Xenopus tropicalis: one gene and its partners. The protein of the gene in region 4 purifies or fractionates together with the protein of the main gene of each other region. This does not show direct contact. Links are inferred from orthologs where the notes say so. Each region holds a gene or a part of one and is shown on either strand. Other genes may lie near its edges.

Region 1 (4,608 bases), on a different chromosome or scaffold from region 4:
CCTGATTTTTATGCAACCACAATGTGCGTCCAAGCCAGAAATTCAAAATAAGCACCTACTTTGTGGCCACTGTGAGCAACAGCCAAGGGTTAGGGAGAAACATGTTGCTCCAGAACCACTGGTTGGGGATCACTGCTGTAGATTATTACTACTGTAGACAATCATAACCATGGGGGTCACATTTGAACTAGTAACTTCACAACCCTTCAGTATTGACAATGAAGCCCAGGTATGCAAAAAAAAAAAAAAAGAAAGCACAACTCTAGGATTCAGTAGATCTGACCTAGAAAAATAAAATAAATAAATTATAAAAGTATTGGCATATTTTTCCCTTGCAGTCAAATTGAAAAAGTTGTATTGTGCTGCTGTCAGTGGAGCACTCGGCTGGCCGATTAGGAGAGCCAGTTTAGATCTGCATGCCTTCCAATGAACAAAGAGCTCCACTGTGTGTAAGAACAAGGCAGAAAAAAAATGAAATCCCATAGCAATCTGCCCTGCCCCCCACCTCATACACCCACACACACCCCTTCTGAAGATAAAGTTAATGGAAACTTTTTCAAACACGCAAGAAATATGTAAAGTTTAAAACTATTTAAAATGTTTGTCAAGGCCCTGATCTGGGCAGTGGGGTTAATGTAACGAAGGCCATTGAAGTAACACAGGAAAGAAAAGAGCAGGCCTCCAACTAACACTCAATTTTTATAGCTGTAAAACCACACCAAACGTTGCCTTGTATTCTCGCAAAGCTTCGCTTTACGTAACTGTGTCATTTAATATTTCCTACAAATAGAACGGTAAGGAAAACAGAGCATGACATGGACACTCTGCATTATTTATTTAAAATATGTATTCTTTTTAGTGTAATCATTTTAAAGAAGCAGCTGCAGGTCATTTCAACTACAGGTATGGGACCGGTTATCCAGAATGCTCGGGACCTTGGACTTTTCAGATAAGGGGTCTTTCTGTAATTTGGATTGCCATATGTTAATTTTGCTAAAAAAATCATTTAAACATTAAACTGAATAGGGTACTGGTTTATTATTGCAGAGAAAAAGGAAATCATTTTCAAAAACTAGAATTATTTGATTAAAATGGAGTCTATGGGAGATGGCCTTCCCGTAATTTAAAGCTTTTGGGTAACAGGTTTCCAGGATCCCATACCTGGATCAAATCCCATGTGCCAGGTCAGTCACAGACAGGTAGATGGCACAAATATTAATACATTAATAAAGCTGTAAAGTTAATAATAAAATATCTGTTATTTGATTTACCATCAGGCTCAAACATTGTATTCTACTTCTCTTAGTCTTGTCATTTTCTGCATTGGTAGAAAGTCAACTTAAGCAAAAGAGCTTGAGCTCCATTAGAAATTCTTGTAAAGATGCAAAGCAAGTTCTGGTCATTGTTGCATTTACAGAACTGCTAGGCAACGACTCCAATCAGTGTGGACCCCCCCCCCACACTACATGCAGACAGGGCCTGCTGAGCAGAACCACCAGAGTAAAACTGAGTTTATAGCAGACATGTGTGTAACCTGGGAACTCACTGTTGAAGACAGAAGCTGCAATTTTATAACAGCTGAATGGGAAACATATCATTTACATGCATGTCCAACCTGGGGCCCTCCAACTATTATGCATACCATGACAGTCAAACACTACTGTAGTACGAGGATGGAGGGGCTCAAACATTATATCCCTGATCTAAAATAGCCAAGACTTCGAAACTGTGGGCCTGAACAAGGCAGTAACTGGGGGGGGGTGATTTAGCAGGTAGACTACAGAGGGGAAATATGCTTTTTTATATACTCCTAGAATTCCCGGAATGACGGTTAACAGGGTAAGATTTTTGTGGCAAACACTCAAGGAGCTATGCCATCTGTAACAGAGTTACAAGCGGAGGAGGGCCCCAACCAAATGTTCAACATGAATGGGGGTTCTGAAGTCTGAAAACCGTAAGGCCTAAGGGATTTCTACCTTGCCAATCAGCTGACAACATATTCTTCAACCGTCTTGACCTGGCAAGGAATACTGTAAGTTCAAATAACAGCTGGAAGGCCAGACATCAGACATTTGCATTCTAGATTGTAAGCTCTCGGATTTCAGTTTCTCTTTGTATGCTTCATGTCCGTGTAGAACTTGAATAGCATCTGTAATATACTAATAATCACCCTGGAAAACAGCACTTATTTATAAACAGCCCCAACAGCAACAATAGAAGCATCTGGTTGCAGCACAGAGAGGGAGAGCAGTCTGCCCGACAACTCAGACAGCTGCAACATGCTGCTGGACCATTTTGTGCAGCAGAGAACTTCTTATATCAACTGTGGTGATGTTTAGAGATCAGACAACATCTCGGTCCATTTAAAACCAGCAGCATCCTTCTGCCCCAGACTAAAGCATGTTTCTGCCCAGAACCAACCACCTGCTAACTTGCCCTGAGTTTTACTGCTGAAGCCCCCCAGTCCTTGGCCAAAACACAAAGCAGCCTCATCCAACTCTCCCCCCCTGTCTCCCCTGTAAAAGCCATAGCATTACCTTATTAGAGTTTGCTAGATATTTCAGTGTAATGTTCCACTTCCTCCTGCATTGAGTTTATTGTAAATCCAACAAGCTTTTCTCTTCTCAGAATCCAGAAAGGTGTAATAATCCCACAAACGTATAGAATTTTCCGCAGAGAGAGAGAGAGATGGCCAGAGAACAACAAACCCGAAGGCCGGGAGAGAGGATCACAAAGGGGCTGTAGAAGTTCCAAACCGAATGAGCTCAAGTTCGTTTCCCTCCAATGCTTTCACCGTTCCTTAATCCTGGGAGGGGGCTGGAAACATCCCAATTAGAGAGAAGCAAAGGACAATTCTTTACCAGGGACGGGATTCCAGGTCCACGTTTCGGGGAGTAGAGAGAGAGTGGGGGTCAGGGGAATAAACAGGCAAGGGGAGGGGGGTGTAGGAAGAGAGAGAGCCGTGTAGGGACAGGGGTCCCGCTGCATTCACTGCTCCTCCTAGTGACACCCGTACGAGTCATGAAGGGTGAGCCGGAGTGTAGGGTATATTGTGCCACTATGGGAGCCGCACCCTCAGCGCACTCACACACACAGCCCGGCCAAGCAGCACTCTCTCCTCCCCAGTACTGCTCGCAGCCGCACACACTCTCCCCTCCCCCTCTGTCTCCAGTCTCTCCTCCCCCCTCTCATAAGGGCAGTCTCTTTGCTACTCTCACTTCCTGAGGCGTCTCGTTTCTCCTCTATGTGGCCCCTGCTTAGGCTCTCTCTTCATTTTACCCCCATCATGTAACATATTTCTAATGAAAAGGTGCAGTAAAGCTGCTGCCCCCCCAGATGTGTTTCAATCACAACCCCTTAACCCGCACTAGGAACCTTTGTGGGTATTTTAGTTCTGCAACAGTTGAAGGGGGGAAACGAAATCCTATTTTTAAAATGCTTATTCCATCTTTTATTTGATTGTCAGCTTGTAGGACAAGATGTAATGAGACTCAGGGACAAGTGTTACTGTACAGGACCCTAGGTGTATGTAGATTGGATCCATTACTTAGTGTTTAATCCTTAGGGTTAATTTGTGATGCTATTAGCCCATTCAAATAGGGTGCTGACCCAGTGCCCCAAGCTATCAGTGACTGGTCCACAGAGGCATTTACATGAGTGTGTGTGCCAGTCACTGTTATCCTAAGTAACAGATTTGTTAGGGGCTCATCACCTTGAAAGTGTCATGGAGTATCCAAGGCTATTGGCTACAGGTGCCCAGATTTAAGTGACCACCACAATTTGTTTAACCTTTTTACTTGTGTTCTGTACCCAAGGGTCATGGCAATATAAGTATTATACAGTCAGTGCCTCTACATACATAGCCTTTAGGCAGTCATATACAACCGGACCTTGTACAGTATGTGACCAATCAGCTTGCAGGTGCAATACAAGGTTATTATTATTACTATTATTAATATTAACACATATTTATACATCACCAACATATTTTGCAGGACTGTACAATAAATGGGTGTATGCACTGAACATACAGATTACATACAAATAATTAACTGGTAACCGATACAAGAGGTAAAAAGGGTCTGCCCAAAAGAGCTTACAGTCAGTTTCATACATTGTCGAGGCTGAACAACGGGAACAGCAGAAAGTGAAGACACTTCCATACAATGGAAAACGTGGTGCATCAGCAGATTAGGTTTTTAAAGGAGAATGAAAGTTACAATAACTGGGGGATGCCAAATGTTAGCTTCCATACATGTACCAAAAATCAAAGATTTTATTGTCATTTGTCAGGCCACCCTAAGCCTTAGCCACTAGGAAGGAATGCACTAAATCAGGAGAGCTACTCAAGTAGTGGTAAACTGATCAGTGTCCATACACTTACTATGGCATGTCAGAGTCGACATAAGAACCAAACGTGTCCAAATACAGTGGATAAGAAATACTGTAGAATAAAAGGGGTAAATAACCCCTTAATTTGTTTTATTGTGTCCATTATGGACAATATTTATATTTTATTAACTTCAGTTGTACTTTAGGTCAGAATATATGGTTCGTTAAATAAATAGAAACTCCACAGATATTACAAAACAGTTTAAGTGTGAGCAT
Region 2 (4,092 bases), on a different chromosome or scaffold from region 4:
AGTGCTCCTTTGGTTCCTGTCCAGCCTAGACCCAGTGCTCCTTTGGCTCCCGTCCAACTCAGGACCGGGGCCCCTCCAGCTCCCGGTCAGCCTAGGTTCGGGGCCCCTCCGGCTCCCGGTCAGCCCCGGGCCGGGGCCCCTCCGGCTCCCGGTCAGCCCCGGGCCGGGGCCCCCCCGGCTCCCGGTCAGCCCCGGGCCGGGGCCCCCCCGGCTCCCGGTCAGCCCCGGGCCGGGGCCCCCCCGGCTCCCGGTCAGCCCCGGGCCGGGGCCCCCCCGGCTCCCGGTCAGCCCCGAGCTAGTGGCACAACTGTACATGGCCATCCCAGACCTGGAGTCCCTCATCCACTCCCAAGAACTGGTGCACCAAGTCCCTTTAGATCTCGGACTCCCTTAGGCCAGGGTCCAAGGATGGGAATGCCAGGTCCCTTCAGGCCTGGAGCTCCAGGACCATTTAGAGCAGGTGCACCTCCTGTTGGCCTTCCAAGAGGAGGGTTTCCTGTTTCCTTTAGGGCAGGGGCCCCAGGTCCTCCCAGGATAACTGGCCCTCGGGGCCCTTCTTCAATTAATCCCACAGAACTACAGGACTTTCAGATTGCAAGTTTACCTGCAGGGCAGATTCCAGGTGGTTCCCTTGTGCCACAGGAATTCGATCACCCTTTAAATGTAAAGGAGGCTTCTAAATCTAGCTCTGCCATGCAGAACATATTGGCAGAAGATCCCGATATGTCTTTGTCATCAGTAAGGGTTCCCTGTAGTGAGGAAGGAGAGTCGGGTGCAAATATTTTAAGAGATGCAGTGCCAGACTTCCCTGAAAGGCATACCAGGCATGGTGACATTGAAAATTATGATGCAATTCAAGAACCAGCCTATGCTAATGCTCACTTACAGCCGGGCCCTTCCAGGTTACATCATGGGAGAGGAGGATTAAGGGAACAATGGTTGCAAGGTACAGAACAGTGGAGTAGCCAAGGGAAAAGATTAGAAAACTATGAAGTAAAATTTGATCAGAGGGGTAGAGGTCGCTCTAGAGGACTAGTCCGTGAACGAATTCTGCCCAGACCAGGCAGTCGTGATGCTATAGAACATTTAAGAGAGAGAGATTTTGGGTCAAGGGGTAATTTCTTGGATGAGAGACCTCCCCAGGGCCCTGATTATGATCCACTTTTTATGAGAGAGATGCTTCACAGAGATCATAGATTTTCTGATGATGAGAGACCTCCTTTGGATCCCTTGGAAATTACAATAAGAGAATATTTGGACAAAGTTAGGCTTGATAATTGGGAATGGGAAAGATATATGAGAGAGAATGAATTTCTTCGAGAGCAAAGCCATGCATTTCTCAGGGATGAGAGGCTTCCTTTTCACCACCATCCTCCTCTCCCTCCTCCTCCCCTTCCTCGTGACACAGATGTTCGTCAAGATCCTTGGTGGGATAGACTTCCAGAAAGAGAACAGTACAGAGGGCCTGGTGATGTAGTGGAGAGATTTGAAAGGCCTTATGAGGGACATGATCGGGAGAGAGATTACTTAAGAGTGCAGGAGGATTTGGACTTTTTGACACGTGAAAGGATAAGTGCACATCCTGTTCGACGACCACTTTCTCCTCACCGTTCACTTTCACCTTTACGGCCCCGCTCTCCTCTACCACCTCTTCCTCCTCTTGATAGATATCTTGATGAAAGTTGGAGAGATGACAGAGAAACTGACCGAGATTTTCGTGAACGTGGGGACATCAGAATACTGGAATACCCAGAAAGGCAAGAAGAAAGAAGCCGTGAATTCCCCCCAAAGAGAGTAGAGTGGAGGGAAGATCCATGGTATCCTTCTGAAAATAGATTGGAAAATCGTATAGATCCCAGTCACAATCTTGAAACACCAGTGTCACTGGAAAACCCTGTACCTGGTGCAGAAAGCAGCCAGGAAATGGAATCTGCACCCTCTTCTGCTGGAGTTTTGGCACTGAGTCAGAGACAACATGAAATTATACTAAAAGCTGCACAGGAACTCAAAATGCTCAGGTACCCAATGGAAACGTACATGCATAAGCTTGTAATTGCTGTTGAGTTTTGCATGTCCGTTTTGTATTTTTAGTGAAAATATGTATAATTTAGAAGTAGCTGATCAGGCAGATTGTAATTTTATGGTTTTAAGTATTTTTTGTGTACTTGAATTAGTTTTTTTTTTTTTCTTCAGAAACATCAGGCTTTTTCAGTTATTTTAATTTAATCACAATATTACAAAATAGTTGACCAGAAGTTTAGAAGCTCACTTACCAACTTGGGTTCCTATCAAAACATCTTTGAGTTGAGATAAGCTGTGTACCTAAAGCAACTTTCTGCAAAGTAATTTTAGAAAGAAAATTAGTGTTTAGACTTGCCATGTGGTTCTTGACATCATTTTTCACTTTCTTCAGGGAACAAAAAGAACAACTGGACAACTTAAAGAACTTTTTTAGTGATTCTCAGACTTCTGGGGAATCAAAACACCAGCCACCCTTGCCAGGCGATAGTGGTTCAGCCCCAAATATGTTCAAGGTAGGTTTGCCTAACAGGACCAACAGACTTCCCACAAATACTTAAAAAAAACACACATCAGTTATTTATGATTTTATTAAGTTTATTGGTTTTTCAAGAAAAGAGGAGAATGAGAACATAAACATTTAACAGTTAATACCAGTACATTCTTGGTGGACCTATAGTATAATGAAACAGTAGTAAACTCCATCCATGGAGCCACAGAAGTTTGTGGTCAAAAGCCTTTGCCCAGTATTTGTGCTTTTATGGCCTTTATGGGCCTAATCCACTTCACATTGGCGACTAGTGCCTGTTGAGCGTGTATGTGTCATTTTTCACTTGCTTCCTATAGGTGTTTTTGCAGCTGTCCGTATGCAGGATGCTACTTGATGGGTTTACTCAAGAGGCAGGTCAGGGGATCAGGATCAATTCTTTATTTGAGGACAGTTGGGGTGCATTTGCCACCATCTCTTAATATGCTGTTACCACCCTGCACATTCACCAATATGCTTATTACAGGAAAAGGGGGAATAGGGAAAGAAGAAGTTCTCTTATCCAATACATTTTCTCCAAAACTGGTGTTTTGTTGGGGGTATAAAATATGTATAATATAAAGTATAAGATAAAGAAGGAATAGATAACCCCTTAATTAGAAAACACTTTTAACAATGGCTTCCCACTGTTTGATACGGCTCAAAATACCAATCAGGAGTTCATTAATTGATTCAATAAAATGATTAGTGCTAAATAAATAAGAAAAGGGGCAATTATTTGAAGGTGCTAGCTTTTTCTCCACACCTCTTGATTATTCCTTTTCTTTCTATATATACCTAATTAATTAAGGTGAATTATCAATCAATAATTTGGCACTTTAAAGGAGAAAGAAAGGTAAAAACTAAGTAACTTTATCAGAAAGGTCTATGTAAATACAGCCATAAGCACTCACAGAAATGCTGCACTGATTTCTCTGTCAAAAGATTTTCTGTGTCTGTTTTCCTCTCCCAGAGACACACAGCTCTCTGCTCTCTCCACTCTCCTGCTCCCCCCTCCCTCAAGAATGCTAAGAACTCACCCCCCCCCCAGGAATGTGGAACTGAGCCAATTGGCAGGAAGCTTCCTCATAGTCTAACTGAGCATGTACACTGGTCTTGCTCTTGGTGCAGGAGTGAGGCATTATGGGAACTTTTTTTACACAGTCCAGTGTTTTTTCTTGTCCTGTTTGGCTTCTGATCATGAGAACGGGAGAAATATGGGGAAACTTAAGGGCACTATTGAGAGAACTGAAGTTATGCCTGCAGCTTGACATTATCTCTTTATTAGCCTTTCCTTCTCCTTTAAAAAATGTGCACATTTTTATCTAATTTTTCAGTCACCAATTGATGATTTTGAAGAGAAACTGTAAGAATACAAAACTATAGCACATGCACTTTGTTAAATTAAATTGGTTTTTTAAGTGACAGTATTGAAAAAGCTAGCACCTTCAAATAATTGCACTTTTCTTATTTATTTAGCAGTAATCACTTTATTGAATCAATTATTGAACTCCTGATTGGTATTTTGAGCTGATTCAAACAGTGGG
Region 3 (4,092 bases), on a different chromosome or scaffold from region 4:
GATATTTCCCGATGGAGTTGTGCAATGCTGCCCCCCGTTTGATGCCAATGCATATCTTCTGGATAGACCTGGAATGGTAGGGCCCACCAGGATATCTACTGGTGTTCCATTGCACTGTTCCAATGCTGCTGGGCTGGTGTGTCAGCCCCATGGAACAGGTATGCATCTAGAATAACTGGGAGGTGCCTAACAATGTTGCAGCCTCAGTGATTTTACCTTTCTTTTAATATCTCCATGAGTCTATATAGACTTAGCGCTACCATTTTAATACTGCGGTAGCAGAATGTAACATGTGGTGAATGGTTAAAGAGGCAAAAACTGGTGTGCTACCAAATTTTACACCAGTGTTTTACACCAAATTTGATACCAGAAATACATACATATAAATATTTTTTTTTTTTCTGGTATGAAATATATATATATAAATATAAAATGTATTTTTCAGACCAGTACACCCTTTTAACATTACAATGTCTTTATTGTGAGCACATCGCACAAAAATCTTTGTTGCATGAATATTTCTTAAAATGTGCCTAGCACAATAAAAAAATAGGCATTTTCTATAACCCCAATCACTTCCTGGTCTGTAGACTGTAAAGTGAGTTATATAAAAAGACTCTACAGTATGTTACTAAAAAAGGGGTAGTTCACCTTTATGGAAAATTTTAATATGTTGTATAATCACCAATTCTTAGCAATTTTTCAATTGGTCTTTTTTGGTATTCTTAATAGTTTTGAAATTATTTGCCTTATTTTTCTTCTTATGACTCCTACCAGCTCTCAAATATGTCCCTAACCCAAGCAGCCAAATAATTATTCCTGTGCAGACTACAATGTTAGTGTTTTTGTTACTTTTCATTTCTACACTTTCTATTCAAATCTGATTGCTATTGCTGAACTGCACATTCTTTTAAAATAGCACTTTCTATAATATGCTAAAAGTTAGTTCAAATATGAACAACCCATTTATGAAAGTAAAATAAAGAAAATTCTGCAGAACTTTATATTTCTGGGACAAAGTGTATTCAGGGTTTACCGATATCTCTTTAGGGCACAGAGAAAACAAATGACAGATGAGATGTACAGATCCTTCTGTTCTGCTCCCTCCCTGTGTGATTATTATATGGGATTAATATATATTTTATCTGACACTATACCCTTTACACTGTAAAGCAAGTCCTTACACGGAAATGAAGGTGCTTCCCCTAGACAAACAGACAATGAGGCACTGTAATACATACAACAACCACATTCATATACAAGGTACCTAATATTAAAGTGTTAACTTTGTCTGCATATAATTTAAATGAGGATGATCTATACACATGGGACCTTTAACACAGGTTTCAGGGGTAATTTATGGGAACCTCAGGGTTTATGTCCCATAAATATTCAAGAGGCGCATTATTTAGAGACAACAATACTCCTGCCTATTGTTTGGCCTTATAAATATTCATTTTTCTTAATACGCTTGAGTAAAGAAGGGAGGCTTGTGTCTCCTCCGTCCACACAGATCTTTGGCATTCAGTTAAAGCTCTGGCTGAATGAGTGGGAAAGAAGAGTTTCCTTACGTTCTGCAGAGGCTCCTGGTATTGAGGCAGTGGTGACAGCTGGGATTCAGAGTGGTATGGAGATAAGCCTTTTCTTAAAGTTCTTAACTCCCCAGAGGTAGAGTGCTGCAAAAGAAATGGCACAAAAGAGGTTCTGCGTGAGGTAGATATGAGGAGACAGGCTTCCAAGGCATAATTACACACTGTTCACTTTATGTCAGTAGCCTGGCCAATAACCAATACATTTGATCTTTTGAATTTCTGTGAAGTTTATTTGGATAAGAAGACCTCCCATGTCATTATAAACAAAGGACCAGTAACACCAAATGATGAGATCATCCTACATGCCTTTACATATAATGCCAGTTATAGGGGTCATGTTCTGGGACATAGCGCAGGCAGTTACCTGCCCCAAATGTGCATAGGGGATAGTCAGTGCTCAATTATCACAACAGTTTGGCACACTCATTATACACATCTGATAATCTACTCTCTGCTCCCTCCATTTGTCCATCCTCTTTCCTTCTATGTCATTCTCCATCTACCCTTCTCTATCCTTACTCAGCCCTTCTGATCCTTAACCCTACCACATCTCTGCAGTAGGTTAAAGGGAAACCTTTGCCCGGGTTACTGCATAATTCCCTAGGAGAGAGAGCTTTTAGTCACACTGGCACACCTGGAAACCAGCCTCTAGCTAGCACTTGTGTGATATGTAAAACTTACTGCAGGACCAAACAAACATGCTGACCATTTTAAAAACCAAATAATTATATCCAATAGTTGATATTATAACCGTAAGTAAACATGCAATATTTGTTAGAAGTGGATTTCGGGCCTCTGTGCCAGTGTAATTTGTGGTGATCCTGCACAAATAAACACAAGTATCTGCAGGTAAATATGGCACCATGGACAGAATAACTTTTATATTTAAAACATGGCATTTTACATTTACCTTCTTCGGATTGATTTCCCTTTCTAAGAATGGGAGGTACCAGGGGTTGCCCAGGGAAGTGCTGGGTGTTTTTTAATAGATGCTTGTGGCAGACAAACCAAATGGGAAGTGATCTGTGGTGGACAGAGGTTTTGATAATCAGATACTGATGGACATCAGCATATAGACTTTACTTAGAAATAAGGTGTAATGCCCCTTTACTGGTGTTCTACAGGCACAATATCTAGTGACCAAACAATATGTACCCAGGGATGTCAGTAATGACACTGGATGCATCTCAGCCGGAAAGGAATCAGCAAGTCCAAACATCCCCTAAGTAAAGACAAACCCGTTAGGATAATCCAAGGATTGTAGTAATCACAAGTCGTTTGTGACATTTGTCCAACATAAACGATAAGGAAAAAAATGGTATTGCAGAAATCTCCTACCCATTGTGTAAGAATATGCATCTTGGAAATGTTCTTTATCTTTTGCATGGTAAAGCAATTTCCTTCATAAAGGATCCATTCCTATTCAGACCCTAGTCATACTAATTTAATTTCTGAAATGATGCTGTATCACGGCTTCTGTTCTTCCGGGTCTCTAATCCTCTTAAATTCTCTGAACCATATGTGAAGTTGAACAATATAGTAAATAACCACGAGTAACCTCTAGATAATACCTTTGCCATTGGAGAAGTGATTCAAATACAGTATACAAACGGCTGAAAGCATGCATTAAATGTGAATTGGGTATTTTAATGAGAAATAACCTATTTATAAGCAGGAACTGTAGATGGTAAAACATATAGCTGAAGACTTTTATGACAATTCTTTATTTATATAGTGATTCCTTTTTCAACTTACTGTACATAGGGACAGAGCCCTATTTATTTTAATAAGTGTATTGTCTCATACAAGGGGGCGGTTTGACATACTGGTTGGCTAAAAAAAAAAAAAAAAAAAAAAAAGTTCTCACCTTTGGTCAAGCTGCTTTAACAATCACTGTAACAAAATATTTCTTATTGGGAATGCCATTGTTTGGCTGAACAAGACAGACTAACATTAGTCAGTATAATGACCCTTTAAGGACACTGGGAAAATGCACAGGTAGATTCATGATTTCCGTTCTAGGCTCTCAGAAAATTTCTGCTGCAAAAATACTGAGGTTTTCTTTCTCAAAATGACTCAAGTTGCATATTGGATTTATCTAGGGCAGGGGCGGGCCAAGCCGACCAAGCTCCCTAGGCAACCTGGTCAGCCACCTCCCCCCTGCACCGCCCCCCCACACGCGTGTGCTTTGGCGTTCGACACCCCCCCCAACGGCGCATGTGCACCGAAACACACGCGAGGGGATGCGGTGTGATCCGATCGGTCATTGCCTCCACCGCTAATGACAAGTAGGGCTCTGATCGGTCATTGCCTCCACCGCTAATGACAAGCGGTGGGGGCAATAACAAAGTAGCACGGACTAGGGGTAGACAGGAGAGGCTCCTGCCTGGCGCCCCCCAATCGTTGCGCCCTAGGCAGCCACCTCTTCTGCCTACCCCAGGTTCCGGCCCTGATCTAGGGGCGGAAGCATATGGGAATTTGTAGGAGGTAAAAGATACAA
Region 4 (4,590 bases):
CAACAGGATTGGCTGGCTGAGGAAGATCTCGCGGGACTTCAGGCACAGCCCCCGGATCTCATTCTCCGTCAGCTGAACATTCTTCCCAGGGCGGCAGCCTTTAACTGTAGGGGGGGAGGAACAGGCCAGTCAGGAACTGGGGAGGGGGGGCCCCGTTATACACAGCCAAGGGCCCCCCGTCCCCTACATACAGGCTCCAATCAGCTCCCAGTACAACGGCTGCACCCCAACTGGTCTTTATATGCACCTACACCACCCAACAAGGGCCCAATCATAGGCCCCTCCCCCACCCAACAAGGGCCCAATCATAGGCCCCTCCCCCACCCAACAAGGGCCCAATCATAGGCCCCCTCCCCCATCAAACAGCGGCCCAATTATAGGCCCCTCCCCCATCCAACAAGGGCCCAATCATAGGCCCCTCCCCCATACCCCACCCAAAAAGGGACCAATCATAGGCCCATACCCCAAAAAAATTACACCTTGAGTGGAACACATGATGCTCACTGGTACCCTGACCCCACCCCCCCAATACACAGCTTTCTATTGGGCCATTCCTTACAGCCTGACCCACTGGGACAGGGCCGCTCCCCTCAGATTGATAGGAACCCTGATACTGTGTGTGTGTGATATTAAAGGGGAAATATCCCTCCCCTGTGGGACATGGGCTCAGTCAGTTGGGGGGGGGGTTAAGTAGATATAAATATACAGGTATTATTGTTATTGTATACAGTGTAACTGCCCCACTCCCCCCCCCATTACAGTGTAACTGCCCCCACTCCCCCCCCCCCATTACAGTGTAACTGCCCCACTCCCCCCCCCCCCCATTACAGTGTAACTGCCCCACTCCCTTCCCCCCCCCCCCATTACAGTGTAACTGCCCCACTCCCCCCCCCCCCATTACAGTGTAACTGCCCCACTCCTCCCCCCCCCCCATTACAGTGTAACTGCCCCCACTCCTCCCCCCCCCCCATTACAGTGTAACTGCCCCCACTCCTCCCCCCCCCCCCATTACAGTGTAACTGCCCCACTCCTCCCCCCCCCCCCATTACAGTGTAACTGCCCCACTCTCCCCCCCCCCATTACAGTGTAACTGCCCCACTCTCCCCCCCCATTACAGTGTAACTGCCCCACTCTCCCCCCCCATTACAGTGTAACTGCCCCACTCTCCCCCCCATTACAGTGTAACTGCCCCACTCTCCCCCCCCATTACAGTGTAACTGCCCCACTCTCCCCCCCCATTACAGTGTAACTGCCCCACTCTCCCCCCCCATTACAGTGTAACTGCCCACTCTCCCCCCCCATTACAGTGTAACTGCCCCCACTCCCCCCCCATTACAGTGTAACTGCCCCCACTCCCCCCCCCATTACAGTGTAACTGCCCCACTCCCCCCCCCCCATTACAGTGTAACTGCCCCACTCCCCCCCCCCCCCCATTACAGTGTAACTGCCCCACTCCCCCCCCCCCCCATTACAGTGTAAACTGCCCCACTCCCCCCCCCCCCCATTACAGTGTAACTGCCCCACTCCCCCCCCCCATTACAGTGTAACTGCCCCACTCCCCCCCCCCATTACAGTGTAACTGCCCCACTCCCCCCCCCATTACAGTGTAACTGCCCCACTCCCCCCCCCCATTACAGTGTAGCTGCCCCACTCCCCCCCCCCATTACAGTGTAACTGCCCCACTCCCCCCCCCCATTACAGTGTAACTGCCCCACTCCCCCCCCCCCATTACAGTGTAACTGCCCCACTCCCCCCCCCCATTACAGTGTAACTGCCCCACTCCCCCCCCCATTACAGTGTAACTGCCCCACTCCCCCCCCATTACAGTGTAGCTGCCCCACTCCCCCCCCCCATTACAGTGTAGCTGCCCCACTCCCCCCCCATTACAGTGTAGCTGCCCCACTCCCCCCCCATTACAGTGTAACTGCCCCACTCCCCCCCATACAGTGTAGCTGCCCACTCCCCCCCCCATTACAGTGTAGCTGCCCCACTCCCCCCCCCATTACAGTGTAACTGCCCCCACTCCCCCCCCCCCATTACAGTGTAACTGCCCCACTCCCCCCCCCATTACAGTGTAACTGCCCCACTCCCCCCCCCATTACAGTGTAACTGCCCCACTCCCCCCCCATTACAGTGTAACTGCCCCACTCCCCCCCCCATTACAGTGTAACTGCCCCACTCCCCCCCCCATTACAGTGTAACTGCCCCACTCCCCCCCCCATTACAGTGTAACTGCCCCACTCCCCCCCCCATTACAGTGTAACTGCCCCACTCCCCCCCCCATTACAGTGTAACTGCCCCACTCCCCCCCCATTACAGTGTAACTGCCCCACTCCCCCCCCCCATTACAGTGTAACTGCCCCACTCCCCCCCCCCATTACAGTGTAACTGCCCCACTCCCCCCCCCATTACAGTGTAACTGCCCCACTCCCCCCCCCCATTACAGTGTAACTGCCCCACTCCCCCCCCCCATTACAGTGTAACTGCCCCACTCCCCCCCCCATTACAGTGTAACTGCCCCACTCCCCCCCCCATTACAGTGTAACTGCCCCACTCCCCCCCCATTACAGTGTAGCTGCCCCACTCCCCCCCCCATTACAGTGTAACTGCCCCACTCCCCCCCCCATTACAGTGTAACTGCCCCACTCCCCCCCCCATTACAGTGTAACTGCCCCACTCCCCCCCCCCATTACAGTGTAACTGCCCCACTCCCCCCCCCATTACAGTGTAACTGCCCCACTCCCCCCCCCCATTACAGTGTAACTGCCCCACTCCCCCCCCCCCATTACAGGTGTAACTGCCCCACTCCCCCCCCCCATTACAGTGTAACTGCCCCACTCACTCCCCCCTCCCCATTACAGTGTAACTGCCCCACTCCCCCCCCCCCCCATTACAGTGTAACTGCCCCACTCCCCCCCCCCCCCATTACAGTGTAACTGCCCCACTCACTCCCCCCCCCCCCCCATTACAGTGTAACTGCCCCACTCCCGGTTGGGCCCCCGCTAACCCCTCCCGGCATGCCCCGGGGCTCACCCTCCAGGAGCCGTTGGATAATGGAGTCAATATTGAGTTTTTCTCCGTCCCCCATCGGTGTCTGTGTGCGAGGAAGAAGCGGACGCGGTAGGCGGAGCTAAGTACTAGCAAGTCACGTGTTTTCTCGCCGCCGGGTAATGACGCAAACACGCTAACGCCGCGCCCCGCCTCTCTTGTAAACGGAGGATTTGGATTGCGCAGGCGTGAAATTTCCTAGCGGCTACTGATTGGTTGGCAGTGAGCTAAGAATTCGAACTACGCCACGCCTTTTCCGCTGCGTAAAAGGGTGTGGCTACACAGCTGCACAGGAAGGCGCTGATTGGTTGGCTGGGAAACGGCAAACTCCTAGCCTATAGATCTGCGGCCGGTGACGTCAGTAGCGAGCGGGTCCTATTATTGCGCGGTTCCGCCCGTATCCTTGGCAACCGCTGCTAGAACAACAGTCAGCCGGGGGAGGGAGGGGTGCGGAAGCCTGAACGGAAATGACGTAACATACCCCTAGAGAGCGGAACGCCGCCCTTTACCGAACTACCGGTCCCAGCAGCCCCCGGTAGCCATGGCAACCCCCCCCCCTTCTTCTTCCCCCAATAGGCTGTATCTACTCATCTCCCTCAGCCCGAACCCATCCTTCCTCTGCTATGGGACAGCTCTATGGCATCTCTATGGCTCAGTGTTGGGGTGTCAGGCAGCTCTATGGCTCAGTGTTGGGGTGTCAGGCAGCTCTGTGGCTCAGTGTTGGGGTGTCAGGCAGCTCTATGGCTCAGTGTTGGGGTGTCAGGCATCTCTATGGCTCAGTGTTGGGGTGTCAGGCATCTCTATGGCTCAGTGTTGGGGTGTCAGGCATCTCTATGGCTCAGTGTTGGGGTGTCAGGCATCTCTGTGGCTCAGTGTTGGGGTGTCAGGCAGCTCTATGGCTCAGTGTTGGGGTGTCAGGCATCTCTGTGGCTCAGTGTTGGGGTGTCAGGCAGCTCTGTGGCTCAGTGTTGGGGTGTCAGGCATCTCTGTGGCTCAGTGTTGGGGTGTCAGGCATCTCTGTGGCTCAGTGTTGGGGTGTCAGGCATCTCTGTGGCTCAGTGTTGGGGTGTCAGGCATCTCTGTGGCTCAGTGTTGGGGTGTCAGGCATCTCTGTGGCTCAGTGTTGGGGTGTCAGGCAGCTCTATGGCTCAGTGTTGGGTGTCAGGCATCTCTGTGGCTCAGTGTTGGGGTGTCAGGCATCTCTATGGCTCAGTGTTGGGATGTCAGGCATCTCTGTGGCTCAGTGTTGGGGTGTCAGCATCTCTATGGTTCAGTGTTGGGTGTCAGGCATCTCTATGGGCTCAGTGTTGGGGTGTCAGGCATCTCTGTGGCTCAGTGTTGGGGTGTCAGGCATCTCTATGGCTCAGTGTTGGGTGTCAGGCATCTCTGTGGCTCAGTGTTGGGGTGTCAGGCAGCTCTGTGGCTCAGTGTTGGGGTGTCAGGCAGCTCTATGGCTCAGTGTTGGGGGTGTCAGGCATCTCTGTGGGCTCAGTGTTGGGGTGTCAGGGCATCTCTGTGGCTCAGTGTTGGGGTGTCAGGCAT
Region 5 (2,893 bases), on a different chromosome or scaffold from region 4:
AGACCAAATTTGACTTTCATGACATTTTCATATAGTATTGAAGGGGTTAATGTTCCAAATGTAACTGTGTGTATCTTACAGGTATCACATGTACAATCACATGGCCACTGGAAAACAAGCTCCTAAAGACTAGATTTTTAACGTTTTTGTATTTCTTTAAGCTACATACTCTGGAGCTGCTGAGAGACCCATTATCGGCGTCCACCCCCCTTGCAGCGTGGGTGCTGCTGAGCTCACAAAGGGATTTTGTCATGATTTCATGGTATACTTTTTACACTGTTAACTCTACCTAATCTTAGTGCATTGTGAGTCTGAGCTTTCAGAAGGAGCCAGCGCTACACACTTCTGATCCAGTGCCACGAACCAAGCACATGGGTCCATTAATAGATCTGGAGACACAAATGTATTTTAGTCATGTAATTTCTCTAATATGTAGTAATTGGGCTGAAAATATTAGTCTTCCTTAAAGAGGTTCAACACTTTTTGGCATAATAAAAGAAGATGTAACTCTAAGCAACTTTTTTTATACAGTTATTCAATGGTGTTCAATAACAAAAGCCAAAAGATTAACAGACCTGCAGAAAAACACTACTTTTAAAAGCAATGTAATTTACAAATAACCATTGAACCACTCAATTGTTTAGTGCATAATGGAATGTTGCTTAGAATTATTAATCTCTTATACAAACAAACAAAACCTATTTTGGGTGGAGGCCCCTTGGTATCTAATTTCACTTCTTACATTTCTATTGGTACTTATTGTTCATAGGTCAGGAGTTGTTCCATTTGTTCAGAAACTATATGTATGGTTTGTGTATTTCTTACGTGCAATGTTCTGCTATTCTCCCAGGAAAGATAAGATTAAGTCCTCTCGGAGTCAAAGCATTTTTATTACCCAACACAATTCAAGACATAGTATTTCCACAATGAAGCTCTTACTGTCCAAGAAGTGGCATCAGTGTGCACAAGAGGCAGGAGGTGCCAAAAGTATTCCAGGAAAATAAATGGTGGGCAAAGTTTTGGTTACACAGTCCTGGAGCATTAATGACCAATGAAAACCAGGTCTAGGGTTATAGATTATTCTGAATGCCCCTCAGGCCTTCACTGGCCCCTTTCCTTGTGTCCTCTGGTAATCTTGTTGAAGCTTAGTAAGGGATGCCCTATGTTGCTCTGAACGCTGCTCCATATCCTTAAGTGTGGTCTCATATCTTTTGCTGAGAAACAAACATTCAAACATTATACAAACCAGTTATTAATCTCAATACAGACTAAAGAAAAACACTACTCACATTTCTCCATTAATGTACTGAAGTCTTTTATCCACAGTAGACTTTGCCTCTTCCAGGTCCTGTTTTACCAGCACTGGACCAATCAGCTTATATACAGTGTTACTGTCATCCAGAAAAGCCAGCTCCTACAGAGATATATAGAAACACACATACACATTTCATTCTTAAGAATCACACTATATTGTTATTTTTTATATTTACCCGACATTCTATATATTGCCAAATATGATTACTGTTAATGTCTGAAATCTTCTTTTCTGTTCCTGTTTATTTTGAAAATACATTTAAAAAAAAAAAAAGTTTCCAGGACCATTTTAGAAATGATTATGTATTTGCCTAATGGAAATATTAGGAAGAAAATGTCTTTGCCCTCTCTTTCTGCAGCTTATATAAAATGGGTTATTGTCTTAAGATTGCAGTTTTACCTTTGAATACAAACCCTATTATTTCCCACAGTGCCACTATTCCAGCAGACAAAGGACGCAATTTGTCATAATTGAGATAACAAAATCATAAGGTTGGATTAAAAAAAACTATTTTTATATATTTATAAAATTTTTGACCATGTGCAAAGCATACAGTCCTCTTTAACCCCCTCCGTGGCCTAATTTGCATATGTAAATTAGGATTCAGTTTGGTATTTGCCCAAATCTTTTCAATGGATTTGGGGTTTGGCCGGATACCAAAATAGTGGATTTGCTTCATCCCTAGTATAAAGTAGAGGAACTTAGATCTGAGATGTTAGAGCTGAGGTCTTTTTTACTTAACCTTCACCTAGAGCTGGGCGGTATGACCAAAAATTTATATTACAGTATTTTTCAAAATTATATCGGTGTCACGGTATTTGACGGTATTTTTTTTTTCCATGCATGATTAGGTGTTAACCCCATTTCCTAATAAATTAGAAAATAATTACTGCAGTATTGAAAATCAGTCAAGCGAAGGATCGGCAACAGAAAGTCGTAAGGTAAATCAGGCAGGCTTAGTTTCCCAGGCAAGGCCGCAGACAACATAGCACAGGAGGAGGCGTTTGATAGCTTTAAATACCCCCCACGCATGCACAGAACCGGCGCCGTCAGCGCATCACGGACGTGCACGCTTTGACATGTACGTGCGCTTTGACGCACGCGCACCTGGATGCGCGTGCGCAACGTCCCGCGGACAACAGGACGCACGCGAGACCGGGCCGCACGGGTGAGTACCCTGACACCCCGGTATTGCGGTATCTGAAAAATGAATATAGTTTTAAAAAAAACCACCGGTATTCGGTATTAAGCGGTATATCGCCCAGCCCTACCTTCACCAACTCTTTAATACAGTGCAATTGTAAACATGTGTAGTGTGATACAACAACAATTCAGTTTGAGAATTTGTCTGACATGGCTTTTGGGGAGGCGTAAGATATCAAATAGCAAAAACTGATTCCACCAACAATAACTTTGCTTGATGTGGCTGTATTCTCTCTAAACTATAAATATGCTGTATGTGATGGGTGCAGTCAAATAATATAAATAAGCAGTTAGCATTAATAATAAAATAATTATACTAAATATATACACAAATTATTTTTGTTTCTATTTTTCATGTGTAGAATTCAGACCAGG
Region 6 (4,092 bases), on a different chromosome or scaffold from region 4:
CTGATCTAAAAAGATTTTTTTAATGGAGTTCGACTCTTTTCATTCATTTAGTGAATAATAGGGGGATAAATCTAGCCTAATAGCACATGGATTGTTCCTCTGCTGTTGAAGATTTGATCCACTACCTTCTGCACCTTGGACATGTATGCACTGACAGGTACAGGATCAGCCAATCAGTGCACAAAGAGTGGATTTTAATGCAAAATGCTTAAATATGTATTTTTGCAGGAAAAAATAAATCATCGCATTTGCTTCCATTACCCTTACTGTAACAATTTACTCCCAGGTAACCCATAGTGGCCATTTAACTTACCTGAAACACAGCATGTGACCGTGATGACGATGCATTCATGTCAGTAGGGTGCTGGGTTCTATTTTTGTTTCCATAGTCGAGCATCTGAAGGATCTCCTCGGCTGACTTGGGCTAATGTTCGAGAGAATGAAGACATTCTTTAGATACAAGTGTTTGAGTTTCATTGTATTATCCATTGCTATAGCAAAGACAAACATGATGCATATTTCACAAAGGGGAATTATTTTTAAAGCATAAGTAATCTTTTATTTTGAAATCCCCTAAAATTACTCTGTACAGTCTCCAGAATAACACAACGATCCTGCATGCAAATTTGATTTACAAGCAGCTGAACTGCAGCTCTTTTACCGACTTCCTTGTCTAGCGGCAAGCTCTGTCCCTTTTGCTTTCTGTGCACTCCCTCTTTCTCCAACTATGATGACCTCAAAGTGGTGCCTACTGGGCATGCTTACTGCCTCTGATCCAATTAAAATCAATCAGGCATGCTCAGTAGGCACATCATTGCCAGAGAGAAGGTGTGCTCAGAAAGCAAAAGGGGTGGAGCTTCATGCTAGACAAGGAAGTCCGTAAAAGAGATGCAGTTTAGCGGCTTGTAATAGAGAAACAAAATAAATCTGCATGCAGGGAGAAATGTATGTCATTCTGGGGGCTGTACAGAGAAGTTTTAGAGATTAAGAAAATTTATAATTTATACTCTATAGAAATTGTGTGCAACGGTGACACTAGGAACACAGCCAAGCAGTTTTTCCACTTAGTCCCCTCTGCAATGTATCTGGAGCCCAAAAAGGCAACTCTTTAGGCTTGCAAAATGGGGCTCATTAGTTCCACCCTTATTATGCAGCCATGCCAATGTTCTATAATGTATAGGCAGCACCTGGGCATCCCCTTAACTTGTGTCACACACAGGACACACAAGGTAAGGGCGTCATAGAAAGCTAAAAGCAAAGTATCCCTGATTTGGACATCTGATTTGACCCAAACAAGCACTTGGTCTTTTATTTACAAGCAGCTGACCAATCAAATATAGGAGCTGAATGGCTGCTGTTGGTTTGAAATCTTAAATTAACAGTGTATTAAATTAAGGTAAGTTAGAGTAGGGCGCACTGGGCTTTTAGAAATCTTAATCCTACCTGATGTAATGTTAAGCCTTGCACAACAACTCCTTTCTGAGCATCCTCTCTCACAGCCAATGCACCAGAATTTGAAAGGAGGTCTCGGATCTGCTCATTGTAAACCTAAAGATAAATACAACACAAGCCATACTTTATTGTGAAGTAAAACCAATTGCATTGAACAAATGATGTTTCCCTGCATTACTGTATTTAAAAATGTAAAGCCGGCCATTCAAGCACTGATAATATCGTACAAAACCTCCTTTCGTACGATATTCGGTGAGTGTATGGCGGCTCGACGAGGCGCCATTAAAGGCGCCCAAGCAAAATCTATGTTCAGGGCTGAATTGGCAGAAGGAGGTAGAATTTCAATTGTTTCTACCTCCATATCTGACGATTCAGCCCTGAACGTCAGTGGAGGGTGGGAACAATCTTTGAAAAGATCCCTTTAGAGAGATCAGCTGTGCTATTTACCTCCACACGGGAATGCTCAGGATTGGTTTTCCAGTGATGACAATAAGAAGCATAACACGTAGATTAGGGCCTGTAGCCATTACCAGGGCACTTTTTTTAATGACTGACATGGCTTCTCTTTGTGGCATCCACAGCTACTAATTAGCAGTAGTCTCACTGTGTGAAATATACCAAAGACACTGTTTTACTAAGGCCTATGAAGAACACCTTACCCGAGGCAAGTAATAAACACAAATTTGTAGCCTCATAGAGCAATAGTTTCTGACTGTCGGGGTTATTGACCCCCTCATTTGAAAGGAGGCAGAAGAAGGCAAATCATTAAAAAAATAAATAAATAATGGAAACCAGTTGCAAAGTTGATAAGAATAGCAACATATATAACATACTAAGAGTTTACAGAAAGGTGAAACAACCCTTTAAAATTAGCTTATGGGAAATGGGTAAAATGCATGTTAAACCTGGACCTGGTGTACTATCAGGCAACAGACATTAACTATGATGAGAGATTTGGGAATGGAAGTGGCCAAGATGGTTGATGCAAGGACTTAAAGGAACAGTAACACCAAAAAATGAAAGTGTATAAAAGTAACTAAAATATAATGTGCTGCTGCCCTGCACTGGTAAAAGTTGTGCGTTTACTTCAGAAAGTCTACTATAATTTATATAAATAAGCTGCTATGTAGCCATGGAGGCAGCCATTCAAAGGAGAAAAGGCACAGGCACATAGCAGATAACAGATAAAACACCATTGTATTCTACAGAACATATCTGTTATCTGCTATGTAACATGTGCCTTTTCTCCTTTTTCCCAGCTTGAACGGCTGCCCCCGTGGCTACACAGCAGCTTATTATATAAATTATAGTAGTGTTAAGCTGGCCATACACGTGGCGATCCGACGATGTTTCGTACGACCATCGGTCGCACGAAACATCGTCAGATCCGCCACACACCATTCAGGGCTGAATCGGCAGGTAAGGAGGTAGAAACAATAGGATTTCTACCTCCTTCTGCCGATTCAGCTCTGAAGGGAGAATTTTGGTCAGGCGCCTTCTATGGCGCCCGATCAAAATTTTCTAACCTGGGCGATCGACGAGCCGACCGATTTCAGCAGCTTCCTGCGACATCGGTCGGCTCGCTGACATACCATACACGCACCGATTATCGTACGAAACGAGGTTTCGTACGATAATATCGGTGCGTGTATGGCCACCTTTACTGTAGCAAACACACCAGTTTTGCCAGTGCAGGGCAACAGTGCATTATATTTTTATTACTTTAAAGCTCTTTCATTTTTTGGTGTTACTGTTCCTTTAAGTGAGGCCAGGCCAAATCGTGGATGTTTGCCCCTTTCTGTATGTAATGTTTACATGGCTGCTTTCTCAAGCGACTTGTGCCCCTCTTTCTCCTGCCTCCAGATATACAGTTTAGCTATTTAGTCATCTGTTTTTTTCCCGGTTTTTATTGATTAATAATAAAAAGCTGCAACTTAAAATGTCACATTATTCAAAACACACTAATCACTAAAAAATAAACCAAGACTATCTGAAAATTAAGCTGACTTTTTGTATTTAGTTGACAGTGATGACCCGTTTAACATTTCGGTCTATACACATGGGCAAAGTAGAGATTTATGGTGCTGTAACAATAAAAAATAAAATTGCATGCAGTTAAATAGTTTGACTTAAGAAAAAAAAAAAAAAAATTTTAGCACAATACAAACCTCAAGGTAAGAAATGGCAACATTACAAACTTTCTCATCTTTTACACTCTCAATCCGGTTGTATAATTCCATCATTGTTAGATACATGACTCCAGGCTCCCCCGGTGACCCCAGCATAGTGTGAGTCTTGCCAGCACCCGTTGCTCCATAAGCCAGAACTAAAAAACGGGGGGGGGGGGAAAAAGTGTAAATCAATTTCTAAATAAACTAGCTAAAGAACATTAAGAGTGGGTAGTGCGATTTGTACATTTTACTCACGGATAAAACTTTTGTATTTTTTTTAAATAAAGTGCGTGTATTGGGTTATCTGTGCCCAAATGCCCAGCTTCCTTTGCTCTCCATAGATTCTGTGACTTCAGGTCCCAGAATCCATCACTTTACAATAGAACAAGGTAAGGAAGGGATTGAATCACACCGTGAGCCTAAGATGGGGGTAGGGGAGACTTGTCTCAAGTGGCAGATATAGACTATT
Region 7 (4,783 bases), on a different chromosome or scaffold from region 4:
GCTGAATAGATAGGTAATTGATATAAAGTAACAGTAACAATAAAACGGGTCAGTTCTCCTGTTGCTAGGGCTCAAATTACCTTAGCAACCAGGGAGTGGATTGAATGAGAGACTGGTATATGAATAGGGGAGGGGCTGAATAGAAAGATAAGGAATAAAAAGTAACAATAAAACTGGAGCCTCACAGAGCAATAGGGTTTGGCTGCCGGGGTCAGTTATACTGTTGCTAGGGCTCAAATTACCTTAGCAACCAGGGAGTGATTTGAATGAGAGGCTGGCATATGAATAGGGGAGGGGCTGAATAGAAAGATAAGGAATAAAAAGTAACAATAACAATAAACTGGAGCCTCACAGAGCAATAGGGTTTGGCTGCCAGGGTCAGTTATACTGTTGCTAGGGCTCAAATTACCTTAGCAACCAGGGAGTGATTTGAATGAGAGGCGGGTATATGAATAGGGGAGGGGCTGAATAGAGAGATAAGGAATAAAAAGTAACAATAACAATAAAACTGGAGCCTCACAGAGCAATAGGGTTTGGCTGCCGGGGTCAGTTATACTGTTGCTAGGGCTCAAATTACCTTAGCAACCAGGGAGTGATTTGAATGAGAGGCGGGTATATAAATAGGGGAGGGGCTGAATAGAAAGATAAGGAATAAAAAGTAACAATAAAACTGGAGCCTCAAAGAGCAATAGGGTTTGGCTGCCGGGGTCAGTTATACTGTTGCTAGGGCTCAAATTACCTTAGCAACCAGGGAGTGATTTGAATGAGAGGCGGGTATATAAATAGGGGAGGGGCTGAATAGAAAGATAAGGAATAAAAAGTAACAATAACAATAAAACTGGAGCCTCACAGAGCAATAGGGTTTGGCTGCCGGGGTCAGTGACCCCCATTTGAAAGCTGCAAAGAGGCAGAAGAAGAATTTATTTAAAAACTATAAAGAAATAAATGGGAAACAGGATTGGGAGATTTAGTCCAAGACACTAAGTGCTAAGACTTTACTTTCCCTTTAATCTCTTTACCAAGATAGGGAATGAGCTGGGAACCCCAAGATGAACCCCATTTGACTTGTTATTCTCTAGTGTAGTTATATATGTTTATTTAACCTGCATCTGGGCAGAGAAACCCCAGAAATGGTGGCTGACCAATAACAGGCGCACTAGGGAGTAGTCACATGACAACAGGAGGCTAACGTCAGCTCCCCGGGCTTTGGCTGAGCATTCTGGGATCTGTAGTTTAGAGACTTCCGGACACCCCATTAGCCAATCGCATTACGCAGCCCCCCCGCACGGGCTATAAAGAAGCGGCGATATATCTGACACACACACTTTCCCAGGAGGCCTCAGCTGTCACAATGTGTTGACGTCACTTACTACGGCCCGACTATGACGCGGCTTATGCGCCCCACCAACCAGGCGCTTCCAGTCATGCTTTTCCCTCTCTCAACATGGCGCCGCCAGGACTTCCCGGGCGGAAGTGGCGTCGGAACGCATAGACTTCCGCTGCGCGGAGAAGGTGCGCAGTGCGAGAGAGAAGCGTGATGGCGTCTAATGCAGCGAAGCAGGTGGCGGCCGAGCAGGTACTGGGCATGGTGGGCATAATGGCTGCTGGGGGGTCTGCCCGGCCGGTACCCCCCCCCCCCAACCGGCCGTTTAAAGGGCAACTAAGCCCAAAGCCCTTTTTTCATTATGGCCATTCATTCCCTTATATAGACACATGTGCTATTATAAGCTCAGTGGGAACAGGCTTCCTTGGGCATTTACTCAGATTCATTCCCTATTGGGATCCCTGATAGCCTTCCCACAGCAGCCCAGGAGCAGCCGGCTCTTCTGCTTCCTAGAAACTGTTGCTAGCCAGCTTGGTAGCAGTGTTGCTATGGTACTGAGCTGTTAGTGATATCCCATAATCCCTCAGTTGGAAGGGGGTTCAACAATGGGACTGGGGCACCTTAGTGTTTTATTATTACAGAGAAAAGGGAATCATTTAACCATTAAATAAACCCAATAGGGCTGTTCTGCCCCAATAAGGGGTAATTATATCTTAGTTGGGATCAAGTACAGGTACTGTTTTATTATTACAGAGAAAAGGGAATCATTTAACCATTAAATAAACCCAATAGGGCTGTTCTGCCCCAATAAGGGGTAATTATATCTTAGTTGGGATCAAGTACAGGTACTGTTTTATTATTACAGAGAAAAGGGAATCATTTAACCATGAAATAAACCCAATAGGGCTGTTCTGCCCCCAATAAGGGGTAATTATATCTTAGTTGGGATCAAGTACAGGTACTGTTTTATTATTACAGAGAAAAGGGAATCATTTAACCATTAAATAAACCCAATAGGGCTGTTCTGCCCCAATAAGGGGTAATTATATCTTAGTTGGGATCAAGTACAGGTACTGTTTTATTATTACAGAGAAAAGGGAATCATTTAACCATGAAATAAACCCAATAGGGCTGTTCTGCCCCAATAAGGGGTAATTATATCTTAGTTGGGATCAAGTACAGGTACTGTTTTATTATTACAGAGAAAAGGGAATCATTTAACCATTAAATAAACCCAATAGGGCTGTTCTGCCCCCAATAAGGGGTAATTATATCTTAGTTGGGATCAAGTACAGGTACTGTTTTATTATTACAGAGAAAAGGGAATCATTTAACCATTAAATAAACCCAATAGGGCTGTTCTGCCCCCAATAAGGGGTAATTATATCTAAGTTGGGATCAAGTACAGGTACTGTTTTATTATTACAGAGAAAAGGGAATTGTTTAACCATTAAATAAACCCAATAGGGCTGTTCTGCCCCAATAAGGGGTAATTATATCTTAGTTGGGATCAAGTACAGGTACTGTTTTATTATTACAGAGAAAAGGGAATCATTTAACCATGAAATAAACCCAATAGGGCTGTTCTGCCCCCAATAAGGGGTAATTATATCTTAGTTGGGATCAAGTACAGGTACTGTTTTATTATTACAGAGAAAAGGGAAATAACTTTTTAACGTGATTAAAAAAGAAGTCTATGGAACATTATGGATAAAGGGTTTCTGGATATTGGACCCCATAGGCCCCTGTAAGAAGATGAGCCAATGCTGGGCTGATCTGTTTGCCCACATTGTTTAAGAGTTGCCATTAAAGGGAAAGTTAAGCCAAATACCCTTGTTTAATATGTACGTTCTGTGTTTGTTGCTACAGGTGGTGGCTGGATTTAATCGCCTGCGCCAGGAGCAGCGAGGTCTCGCGTCCAAGGCAGCGGAACTGGAGATGGAGCTTAACGAACACACGTGAGTCTCATTAGCAAACAGGTCGTTCAGCAATGAAGAATCCTTCAATGTGATTCTCCCCGAGGGTCGTTATTCCTCTCTGTTGCACGCTACATTTGTTCTGTAGTCGGAACCAGTGCAGATCTCCCTAACTAACTGACAGTCGTCTCCCTCGCTCCGCAGGTTGGTTATCGACACCCTGAAGGAAGTGGAGCAGGGCAGGAAGTGTTTCCGGATGGTCGGGGGGGTACTGGTGGAACGCACCGTGAAGGAAGTGCTTCCGGCTTTGGAGAATAATAAAGAGCAGGTAAGGCTCTGCCTTGTGGGCACCTAATTAAAGGGCATATTAACCTTTATTGGGGGCAGAACAGCCCTATTGGGTTTATTTAATGGTTAAATGATTCCCTTTTCTCTGTAATAATAAAACAGTACCTGTACTTGATCCCAACTAAGATATAATTACCCCTTATTGGGGCAGAACAGTCCTATTGGGTTTATTTAATGGTTAAATGATTCCCTTTTCTCTGTAATAATAAAACAGTACCTGTACTTGATCCCAACTAAGATATAATTACCCCTTATTGGGGGCAGAACAGCCCTATTGGGTTTATTTCATGGTTAAATGATTCCCTTTTCTCTGTAATAATAAAACAGTACCTGTACTTGATCCCAACTAAGATATAATTACCCCTTATTGGGGCAGAACAGCCCTATTGGGTTTAATGGTTAAATGATTCCCTTTTCTCTGTAATAATAAAACAGTACCTGTACTTGATCCCAACTAAGATATAATTACCCCTTATTGGGGCAGAACAGCCCTATTGGGTTTATTTCATGGTTAAATGATTCCCTTTTCTCTGTAATAATAAAACAGTACCTGTACTTGATCCCAACTAAGATATAATTACCCCTTATTGGGGCAGAACAGCCCTATTGGGTTTATTTCATGGTTAAATGATTCCCTTTTCTCTGTAATAATAAAACAGTACCTGTACTTGATCCCAACTAAGATATAATTACCCCTTATTGGGGGCAGAACAGCCCTATTGGGTTTATTTAATGGTTAAATGATTCCCTTTTCTCTGTAATAATAAAACAGTACCTGTACTTGATCCCAACTAAGATATAATTACCCCTTATTGGGGCAGAACAGCCCTAAGATATAATTACCCCTTATCAAAGCATTCAAGACCAAGTAAATGTTAGTTGGGGAGGGCGGAGCTTGACACTGGCTAGGGTGTGGCTACAGACATGAAACACAAGTGATTGGCTGCCCTGGGCAGTTGCATTCAGCTCTTGCCCTGCCATTCTGAGCTACATTGGGTGATACTGGGTGGCCCTGGCATGTAGCTGCCCCCCCCCCCCCCCCAGTTCTGAGCGTAACCCCCACGTCTCATCTCTCTGCAGATTAACAAGATCCTGGAGTCCCTGAGCACACAGCTACAGACCAAGGGCCGAGAGCTGAATGAGTTCCGGGAGAAGCACAACATCCGGATCATGGGGGAGGATGAGGCCAAGCAGC

The links.
Region 1: the proteins of ppp1ca (region 4) and erbin purify together in Homo sapiens (affinity purification with mass spectrometry; 3 studies listed by BioGRID and IntAct, counting the BioPlex papers as one, with this or other methods). This does not show direct contact. The link is inferred for Xenopus tropicalis from reciprocal best matches to the Homo sapiens genes PPP1CA and ERBIN.
Region 2: the proteins of ppp1ca (region 4) and ylpm1 purify together in Homo sapiens (affinity purification with mass spectrometry; 3 studies listed by BioGRID and IntAct, counting the BioPlex papers as one, with this or other methods). This does not show direct contact. The link is inferred for Xenopus tropicalis from reciprocal best matches to the Homo sapiens genes PPP1CA and YLPM1.
Region 3: the proteins of ppp1ca (region 4) and ccdc85c purify together in Homo sapiens (affinity purification with mass spectrometry; 4 studies listed by BioGRID and IntAct, counting the BioPlex papers as one, with this or other methods). This does not show direct contact. The link is inferred for Xenopus tropicalis from reciprocal best matches to the Homo sapiens genes PPP1CA and CCDC85C.
Region 5: the proteins of ppp1ca (region 4) and pfdn6 purify together in Homo sapiens (affinity purification with mass spectrometry; 3 studies listed by BioGRID and IntAct, with this or other methods). This does not show direct contact. The link is inferred for Xenopus tropicalis from reciprocal best matches to the Homo sapiens genes PPP1CA and PFDN6.
Region 6: the proteins of ppp1ca (region 4) and kif18a purify together in Homo sapiens (affinity purification with mass spectrometry; 3 studies listed by BioGRID and IntAct, counting the BioPlex papers as one, with this or other methods). This does not show direct contact. The link is inferred for Xenopus tropicalis from reciprocal best matches to the Homo sapiens genes PPP1CA and KIF18A.
Region 7: the proteins of ppp1ca (region 4) and pfdn2 purify together in Homo sapiens (affinity purification with mass spectrometry; 3 studies listed by BioGRID and IntAct, with this or other methods). This does not show direct contact. The link is inferred for Xenopus tropicalis from reciprocal best matches to the Homo sapiens genes PPP1CA and PFDN2.

What each region holds. Positions count from the first base shown.
Region 1 is NC_030677.2:187,603,352-187,607,959, forward strand, and holds the start of erbin (erbin), read right to left. Parts: upstream 3,188-4,608; 5' UTR 2,538-3,187; intron 1-2,537. UniProt on the Homo sapiens protein: Acts as an adapter for the receptor ERBB2, in epithelia. By binding the unphosphorylated 'Tyr-1248' of receptor ERBB2, it may contribute to stabilize this unphosphorylated state.
Region 2 is NC_030684.2:82,138,097-82,142,188, forward strand, and holds part of ylpm1 (YLP motif-containing protein 1), read left to right. Parts: coding exon 1-2,018; intron 2,019-2,413; coding exon 2,414-2,534; intron 2,535-4,092. UniProt on the Homo sapiens protein: Plays a role in the reduction of telomerase activity during differentiation of embryonic stem cells by binding to the core promoter of TERT and controlling its down-regulation.
Region 3 is NC_030684.2:90,646,685-90,650,776, forward strand, and holds part of ccdc85c (coiled-coil domain-containing protein 85C), read right to left. Parts: intron 1,677-4,092; coding exon 1,572-1,676; intron 1-1,571. UniProt on the Homo sapiens protein: May play a role in cell-cell adhesion and epithelium development through its interaction with proteins of the beta-catenin family. May play an important role in cortical development, especially in the maintenance of radial glia.
Region 4 is NC_030685.2:488,025-492,614, reverse strand, and holds the start of ppp1ca (protein phosphatase 1, catalytic subunit, alpha isozyme), read right to left. Parts: upstream 3,159-4,590; 5' UTR 3,089-3,158; coding exon 3,034-3,088; intron 105-3,033; coding exon 1-104. Other genes in the region: npipb11 (nuclear pore complex-interacting protein family member B11), read left to right, coding at 3,516-3,520. UniProt on the Homo sapiens protein: Protein phosphatase that associates with over 200 regulatory proteins to form highly specific holoenzymes which dephosphorylate hundreds of biological targets.
Region 5 is NC_030684.2:72,109,164-72,112,056, reverse strand, and holds the end of pfdn6 (prefoldin subunit 6), read right to left. Parts: intron 1,415-2,893; coding exon 1,290-1,414; intron 1,215-1,289; coding exon 1,094-1,214; 3' UTR 872-1,093; downstream 1-871. UniProt on the Homo sapiens protein: Binds specifically to cytosolic chaperonin (c-CPN) and transfers target proteins to it. Binds to nascent polypeptide chain and promotes folding in an environment in which there are many competing pathways for nonnative proteins.
Region 6 is NC_030680.2:20,710,284-20,714,375, reverse strand, and holds part of kif18a (kinesin-like protein KIF18A), read right to left. Parts: intron 3,779-4,092; coding exon 3,621-3,778; intron 1,549-3,620; coding exon 1,444-1,548; intron 425-1,443; coding exon 314-424; intron 1-313.
Region 7 is NC_030684.2:143,079,697-143,084,479, reverse strand, and holds the start of pfdn2 (prefoldin subunit 2), read left to right. Parts: upstream 1-1,534; 5' UTR 1,535-1,537; coding exon 1,538-1,576; intron 1,577-3,193; coding exon 3,194-3,282; intron 3,283-3,444; coding exon 3,445-3,568; intron 3,569-4,668; coding exon 4,669-4,783. UniProt on the Homo sapiens protein: Binds specifically to cytosolic chaperonin (c-CPN) and transfers target proteins to it. Binds to nascent polypeptide chain and promotes folding in an environment in which there are many competing pathways for nonnative proteins.